Linked DNA regions of Rattus norvegicus. The protein of the gene in region 2 purifies or fractionates together with the protein of the main gene of each other region. This does not show direct contact. Links are inferred from orthologs where the notes say so. Each region holds a gene or a part of one and is shown on either strand. Other genes may lie near its edges. The genes, in order: Rmnd5a and Gid8.

Evidence for each region.
Region 1: the proteins of Gid8 (region 2) and Rmnd5a purify together in Homo sapiens (affinity purification with mass spectrometry; 5 studies listed by BioGRID and IntAct, counting the BioPlex papers as one, with this or other methods). This does not show direct contact. The link is inferred for Rattus norvegicus from reciprocal best matches to the Homo sapiens genes GID8 and RMND5A.

The regions. Positions count from the first base shown.
Region 1 is NC_086022.1:104,960,008-104,963,822, reverse strand, and holds part of Rmnd5a (required for meiotic nuclear division 5 homolog A), read left to right. Parts: intron 1-1,261; coding exon 1,262-1,396; intron 1,397-2,804; coding exon 2,805-2,905; intron 2,906-3,815.
Region 2 is NC_086021.1:188,202,389-188,206,639, reverse strand, and holds the start of Gid8 (glucose-induced degradation protein 8 homolog), read right to left. Parts: upstream 3,070-4,251; 5' UTR 2,887-3,069; intron 352-2,886; 5' UTR 340-351; coding exon 222-339; intron 1-221. UniProt on the Homo sapiens protein: Core component of the CTLH E3 ubiquitin-protein ligase complex that selectively accepts ubiquitin from UBE2H and mediates ubiquitination and subsequent proteasomal degradation of the transcription factor HBP1.

The DNA.
Region 1 (3,815 bases), on a different chromosome or scaffold from region 2:
GACACATACTATATCTTGTTATTTTCCCACTTGTTCAGACTCTGCTCATTTGTGTTTTGTTTTGCTTTGCATCTTGTTTTTCTGTTTTCTAATTGGATAATATGTATGGTAACGTTTACTGGCTTCTTGCACTGCCACTTTGTTCCTGCTTTTCTGTGTCTCTGGTGAGTTTATTTTGGTTACTGTGTCTTCTAATTCTTTACTCTGTCCTTGATGTTTCAAGAATGTTTGCTTTCTGGGGCCTGAGATTGGGTTCAGACAGCAAAGAATGCCTCAGAATTTGACAATTTTGAGTTCTGTCTCTAGAACTCATGTGGTAGAAAGGAAGAACAACAATGCGTTTTTCAAAAGAGTATTTGCCCTTTTTGGAGAACATTTTTGTAATGATAGCTTAGAAGTCTTGGGTTTCAGCATTTGTCATTTTGGCCTTGGTGCTTGCCACTTCCTCTTCTGTATCATGTGAACTGTGTTTGGTTCCTTCTATGCTAAACAAATCTTGAGTTGCCCTCTGATGGGCAGATGCTAGTCTTCTGTGGGTTGCAATTCAATTTGGTTCACAGTTGTCTTGATTGTACTTCTGAGTAGCCAGTCTATCTTACTTCGGTTTTCAAAGTCAGAAGTATGCTCTGTGGGGTCAAAACTAGTATCCACAGCTCAAATGTAGGCCTAATAATAGAAACCACCCTTTACACCACCTGTCTCCTCAGTCCCAGCCTCAGAACTGCAGTTAGTGGGCTGTGCCATGTAGCAGTTCTATGTCCAATGAGGGGGTGTGTGTGTGTGTGTGTGTGTGTGTGTGTGTGTGTGTGTGTGTGTATGTGTATGTGCATATATGCATGCATATGTGTGCATGTGTGCTGTGTGTATTTCTGTCCTTCACATTCCAGACAGAGCTGCATTGAGCATGCTTTTAACAGATTACTACAGCATACATCTGAAAATATTGCTATAGTATAATGCCCAGAAATTGGCTTATTGATTTTGGTTTCACAGAAGTCAGTGTTAAGTCTATACATTTTCCTAGAGTGCTTCTTGATTTTTTTTTTAAGTTCATATTTATCTACCAGTAATCTCCAGGAGTGAAAAGATTTAAAAGAAGCACTAGGAAAATCCCTGCCTGTGATTGTGTAGATGAATTGAATTGAGTACTTCCTGGTAACACCAACGGAAGATGTAGACCTTTCTGTAAGATGTTTCTTTCTGTTAAGTGAGGTGAAAAAAGAAAGTCATCTATACACGATTATTTTCCATTTGCCCCCAGAATTTTGACTCTGACATTAGCAGTGTGGGAATAGATGGCTGCTGGCAGGCAGACAGCCAGCGGCTTCTCAATGAAGTCATGGTGGAACACTTCTTCCGACAAGGAATGCTGGACGTGGCCGAGGAGCTCTGCCAGGTAAGCATGTGCCAGTGAGGCATAGGGAAACAAACAAGGCCGTGCTGTGGGGTCTGCAGTGTCTGCGGGTGGGACTTGGGGGCACCTCAGACTGTAGGTCGATTTGTAATATTTTAATTAGCATGAATAAGTAATTTTGCTAGGAAATTTTTTAACTATGAAGATTCTAGTGCTATAATTTAGTATCTGAATTGCCCTTTCCTCAAGAAATTACACTCAGAGGAAATTACACTCAGAGTTTAATATCCAAATTGTTATTTCTTTGTTCGGAGTCTGGTAGGTTGATTTCTGGTCATGAGTCAAAGTGTCAAAGTAATACTACTTTTCCTGTGTGGCCCAGGCGGCCTTGACTCCTCCTGTTTCAGTCTTCCCAGTGCTACATTTAGTGGTGTGCACCATTTACTCCAGATCCTTTTCTTCCTGTGATAGGGAATGTTAATATAGCAGAAAAAAGAAACAAAAATAGTGATGTTTGGTTTTCTGATCTAATAAAACTATATCAAATGAAATTTCAGGTTAAAATTTACATGAGGTGGGCATTGGCCATCTTACTTCTGTTAGCCAGGAACACCATGTAGTCACGATAGTAGTAACTGCTGTGTATTATGTGTTTACTCAGGCCACACCCTGCTTTTCCTTGCATTAGGAGTTATTGTTGCTATTCCACACATAAGGAGTGTGAGGTTTGGAGAACCAAGGAATATACCCAGGGCCATTCAGGGAAGGAAATGGGGGATTCAGTATTCAGCCCTTATTCATTTCTCCAAACTCCATTCTGTTGCATTGTTGTTGTTGTTTAAGAAAAATGAAGAACTCAAAAGATAAACTATTTAAATTGCAGCATAAACCAGTCTATAATCTGAGCCTTTCTGTTTGAGACGGTTAAAATCAATGATACGTGGGTTGCTTTGTACCTTTAGAGGTGCGTGTGTCCATACCGACCTCACAGTAAATTGTCTTATTGAAGATCACTTTGTTTGCAAGTAACAGACTCAAGATAGAAGCTTAAACAAAGTTTGTTCTTTTCGTATAGAAAGAAAGGTAGTAAGAGAGGCTCATAGCACCTGTCCCGTGAAATTCTTAGACACTCCTCGTAGCTCTGCAGTTCCCAGTGAGCCCTCCTCTGCTTGTGGCCAGACTCCAGCTGTACCTTCCGTCCCAGGGAAGAGTATGTATTTACTTCGCATTGGCCTGAGTGCAGAACCGCACTCAGCTAGAGTTCAAGGTTGGTGCTTGGCTCAGATTTGACTGAAGCATAGAGGTTGGACAGTCTCTGTTTCTGCCCCAGAAGTATATGCTAAAAGAAAATTATCTTTGACAGCCCTGTATTTTATAGTCTAGATCAGCTTTTCCCACTGTGAATGATTATACTAACAGGTTTGTCTGTTTGTCTGTTTTTTCCTTCTAGGAGTCTGGTCTGTCTGTGGACCCAAGTCAGAAAGAACCATTTGTGGAATTAAATCGAATATTAGAAGCATTAAAAGTCAGAGTTCTAAGGCCTGCTCTTGAGTAAGTTACTCTTTCTTTTAGGTACTATGAGGGGAACTTTGTAAGAAAATTTATTTGTAAAACAGAAGAGAGATATTTTGATAGGTCTGTCTTACCTAGGGTAGAATAAAGAGGATTTGAGAAAGGACTCTTGGATGTCTTTAAACCGAGTGAAATAGAGCTGCATAATATGAGAACATGGGCAGCCTACTTAACATAACAGTTGATCATGTTTCCAGAAGAAAAATAGGTTTACTTATCTATGCTCCAACACCTCTTTGGATAGACCAGTATTAAAACTGAAGCATTATTGTTTCAGCAATCTTTACATGATATTCGAGCTGCTATAATGTATTGAGGGTTGTGCTCTCATTCTGAGAGATGCTTTAGTTGGCTATGGGAGCTAAGTGATATTCATGAACAGATGAAAAATTCTGTATGAAAGATGTGTGTGAGTGTGCATGAAAGAGAAAGAGAGAAGGGAAAAAGGAATGTGTCAGGAGTCGAAGATAAGAGAATTCAGGTTTATGGGTGTCATATTGTATATGTGGAGATCAGAGGACAGCTTTGGGAGTCAGTTTTCTCTTCCACTGTGGATTCTTAGGATTGAACTCAAGTCATCAGGTTTCTGCTGCAAACTAGCAAGCACTTTAACTGACTGAGTCATGCCACTGGCCCAGATCACCACAATATACATGGTGCTATGAATTGAACCCAGGGGGATGCACAAGTGAACAACTGGATTTTGATGATTTACTGTGAACATACCATTTACTTGAGTTATCTGAAATATACCTGGGTACTTGTTGCTGGAATAGGGTTGGTGTGTGGTTTAAATAAGAATGGCCCCTACAGGGCTTATATAGTTGAAGAGTAGGGGTGTGGTGTTGGGGGAGTTGTGGGCCTTTTTGGAGGAGGTATGTCACTGGAA
Region 2 (4,251 bases):
CAAGTGCTGGGATTATGACCTATGGCACTTTGGGTTAGAAAAGGCCACCTTTAACATGTTAGTCTGACTTACAAATATCAAAGTTAACATACAGGTTTTTTTTTTTAATGATTTCTCAGTGCAACCTAATTTTATCATTACACTTCAGGGGTAAAGGGCTACTTGTTTAAAAAGGGAGAGCTACTGTCAATTGGTGGCCCTCACGCACAGCCAGCCTTTACCTGTGACTAAGTAGTTCATGATGAGTCGGTTCATGTCTGCGCGCTGAACATGTAAGTTGTTGAGCTTTTCCATCCATTCATCTTTGGTTATTTCATCGGGCTTTTCTGCGTAACTCATTATGACTTATTTCTACAGGAAAAGGATACAATAATTGGGGAAGAATTCCATGTCCAGTGTAATCATTTTAAAAAATAAACGCAGCAGTGTAGTAAGTGCAAGAGTAGGAGGATGCTTTCAATCTTGAAACTGACAAGCAAAAAATGGCCTGAGAAAATGACACGTCGGGGGTAGCGTCAAGGTCAAAGGTGGGAAGTATGGTAAGTGAAATAAAAGTCACAAGTTGTAGAATGAAGAGACCAAGACATCACGCTGTGAAGGAAGGGGTTAGGTTTGAAGCTAAAAGCATGAAGGGGAGGGTTGGGGATTTAGCTCAGTGGTAGAGCGCTTGCCTAGCACGCACAAGGCCCTGGGTTCGGTCCCCAGCCCCGAAAAAAAGAAAAGAAAAAAAAAAGTATAAAGGGGAATCACTACAGAGTTATAGGTTAAAAACTGCATGTTATGGTGTAAAAAGGACGCAGCAATCAAGAGGAAGACAAGTGTTAGTGAAGGGTGGAGTCTCCTTCAGCGCCTTCGTGGGAGAACAAAGGTGTGAGAAGGACGATAAGGGGACACATGCTTCCTTCCGTTGGACAATGGTACTCCTACATCCTACAGGCACCAGAGAGTGTGCTGTTCACTGATGCACTTAAGTTGACAAAGGGTGGACCACACTCCCCAAAACAGTCACTCAACAAGATCCTGAATAAAGGAGCTTTGATATACAAACGCCAACTCTGAACCCTTGGGCACTCGTGTTCTGAAGAGAAGGCTGCTGTTTTTCACACAGATCGTATGGCACAAGCTCTGGTCTGCTTCATGAATGACAGCCTCGCTAGAGACCAGAGTACGGTACAAGCATGCAAGTCTGACTTGGTCGAACATGCATATTCACACTCGGTGTGAAGGAAGCTAAAACACGCTATCAAGTTGACTAATGGGTTCAAAGAGACAGTTTTAGCTGTGTGTGTTGACCACGATTTTAATACCAGCGCTTGTGAGGCTGGGGCAAGTGGATCTACAGATGGAGTTCTGGGCCCACCAGAGTTACACGGTGAGACCCCGCCTCAAAAATAAATAAAATAAAGAAATTCTTACATTCAGAGTACTTAAGACTTTCGAACATCACTTTAATAAGAAGTACAAGTGTGACATGTTTTGCAAAATCAAATATGAAACAAACCACATGGCATGTCTTTAGCACAAAATACTGTGTGATCTTAAAACAAAGACATGGTATCACACAGGGATTGTTTCATGGGGGAGCAAGGCAGGATGGTAGAGCCACGGGGAGGGTGGGGGTAGGGGAGGGACAGTCAAGGTAACTCTAGGATGGGCTGGATCATTTTCACTTTGTCAATAACATATACTTCGAGGATATTACATTGTGCACTGCAAAGGATGAACTATTCTGTTTTAATAAGTCATAAAATTGAAAGACGGCTCTGGTGTCTGGTCTGACAATGGAATGCACATTGCCTGGAAAGGGCTAAGCAGTCCAACGAAGAGACCTCTTAGTGCTGGTAGAGTGGGCAGCAGAAGAGACAAGATCAAGCTTTGGCCTCCAAATCAATGGCAGCTGTTGCTGGACTGAATTTGAAGGGACAAGAGAAAAGAAGCATGGACAAACAAATTGGAGGTTTCAAGTGTCAGGCCTTAGAAATGGGAGCACGGCAAAGTGTGAGAGATGCAAGTAAAACAGGTTGGAGGAGCAGGGCAAGTCTGGGGCAGAGGACTCTGGCAGTTAGACAGGTGTGGTAGGACTCTGGATTACAGGTCCCGGGACCCACGCTAGAAACAGGAAAGGTATTTAAGCAAGAGTTTAAAGAAAGATTTAAGATATTAAAATTCCTAAGCCCACTTGCGGATAATTGCGGTTAATATTTGGGGCATGCCAACACTTCTAGTTCTGGCAGACTTGAAGGTCCCTAAAATCTAGTAGGGGGCGGGGGAGGCGGGAGGCCGGGGCCCCGGGGAAGTGAAACTGAACAGGGCTGATGTCTCTCCATGCCACAGGATAACAGAATTCACCGATTCTTAACTTTTATTCATAAGTGAGCTAAAGATCAGTCTGAAAAAAAATGTTTCCCAAGAAGGTCCTTCCCTCTCGATTTCCACTCGGCGCCGGGAAAGCTTATCAAGTAAGGCTGAGGACAGACAGGGGCTAGTGTTTCTGTAGGATTCAGTGGTTCCCAAAATTCAGCGGTTACACAGTGGACCGGGATGCATCCTAAGCCCCGAGGATGACTTTTAACGCAGTAGCTGCGTCTTCGCCTTTCGCTGTCCCCTTCACTGCGCCTTTAATTGCAGAGATGTGCGAACATTTGCAATAACTATTCCGGTCCCGGCAGCACCCCGACTAACAGTGCGGCCTCCGACCTACCACTCCGGGGCCGGGCGGTGAAGGGCAGGACTGACCGCCCTGATCCCCGCTCTCGCCTCGGACGCCCTGGGCAGGGCAGCCTGGAGAGCACAAGCCCCCGACCTCTGACCTCCGCGCCGCGGCCCACCCCGGAGCCCCGCAGAGACGCTCGGCACGGCCGTCAGGGCCCGCTGCGGCCATCTTACCGTGCGGATCCCGCCTCCCGCGCGACAGGGTCTGGGTGGCGGCTCCGCGGCCGCTCCCGGGGCCGGGGAGGGGCGGCAGAGACGGCGGGAGATAGAGGAGGAGGCGGAGGCGGAGGCGGAGGCCGCAGCGGAGGCGGGGGCGGGGCGCGAGGCGGAGGTAGATACACCGGCGTCTGCCCCCAGACACCTATCGCGAGATCGTAAGATCTCGAGATGCGAACTGGCAACCAATGGAATCCTCTCGCGAATCTGCTGGGCAGGCGGTCACAGGATACTAGGGTCTTGTCTTCCGTTCTTGCGCACAACTCTTTGGCAGTGCCCTAGCTCTACGGGTTGGCGCGAGAGTCAAAAGGCTAGTATCGCTTCTGCGCAAGATGGCTGCTGCGGGGGCATTCGCGTACTGAGTGCTAGCGCGGGGATGGAGACGTGTAGACTGAGTTCGAAATGAAGGTCCCAGCTCTTTTCTTGTTTTGTGTGTGTATGTGTTGTGTGTGTGTGTGTGTGTGAAGCGGGGGGTGGTTGAGGAATAGGTGTGTGTGAACACCGGAGTGCGCGAGATGAGGGCATTCCCGGCCTTTAGTCCGCCAGGCTCTAGTCTCAAAGACAAGGCCTCCGGACGTGAGCGAGCTCCTAGGATTTATTCCGGGAACGTTGTAATAGAGGCCAGGTCAGCGTCAGAACAACGCTGCTTAGAGCGATCCTTGTGGCTTCGCTGGAGAGCGGACTGCAGAGGCTCTCGTTCCCTCGTTTCTGGGCACTCAAGAAGGTGACTCCCTAGTGCTGGGGTTCTCAGGGAATGGAGCTTGCACGGATGTTAATCCCTGTTTCTAAGGCAATCATGGAAGCAGAGCAGATCCATGCTTCAAAAACGCTCACCGTGGGGATTCCTCCAGGCCGCCGAGGGTATTCCCTACTTCAGGGCGTTCACAGAGAGTGTCTTAGCGGCGTACGGTGGGGACCCAGCTCAAGACTCCGACGGAGGGAATCCCAGCCGCCGGAGAAGGGACTCCTATCCCTCCCACCCCCCCGAATCCTGTTTATTCATTGCCTTGAGATGGGTTCTTAGAGATTCCGGTAAGGGATGGGGGTAGTTAGAGGCCCTCGCTGGAGTCGGTAAATGAGTATTTGCATATTCATGTGTTTATTGTCTACCGGAGGGGAATGCAAATTTAGTCATTGTAATGTAAAGGAATTCTGGAATGCTTTTGGGGGGGAAATGTTGGGCAGTCTGAGATAGTTGAGTGTGCTTGCTTAAAAATGAACTGAGTTTAGGGAAAGCAACTTCTCATTGAGTCACTGAAAATAAGGCCAGTTTTGCAGATCTGTTGGACACAACGACCACAGTGGCTGTACGCGCTAAGTCTG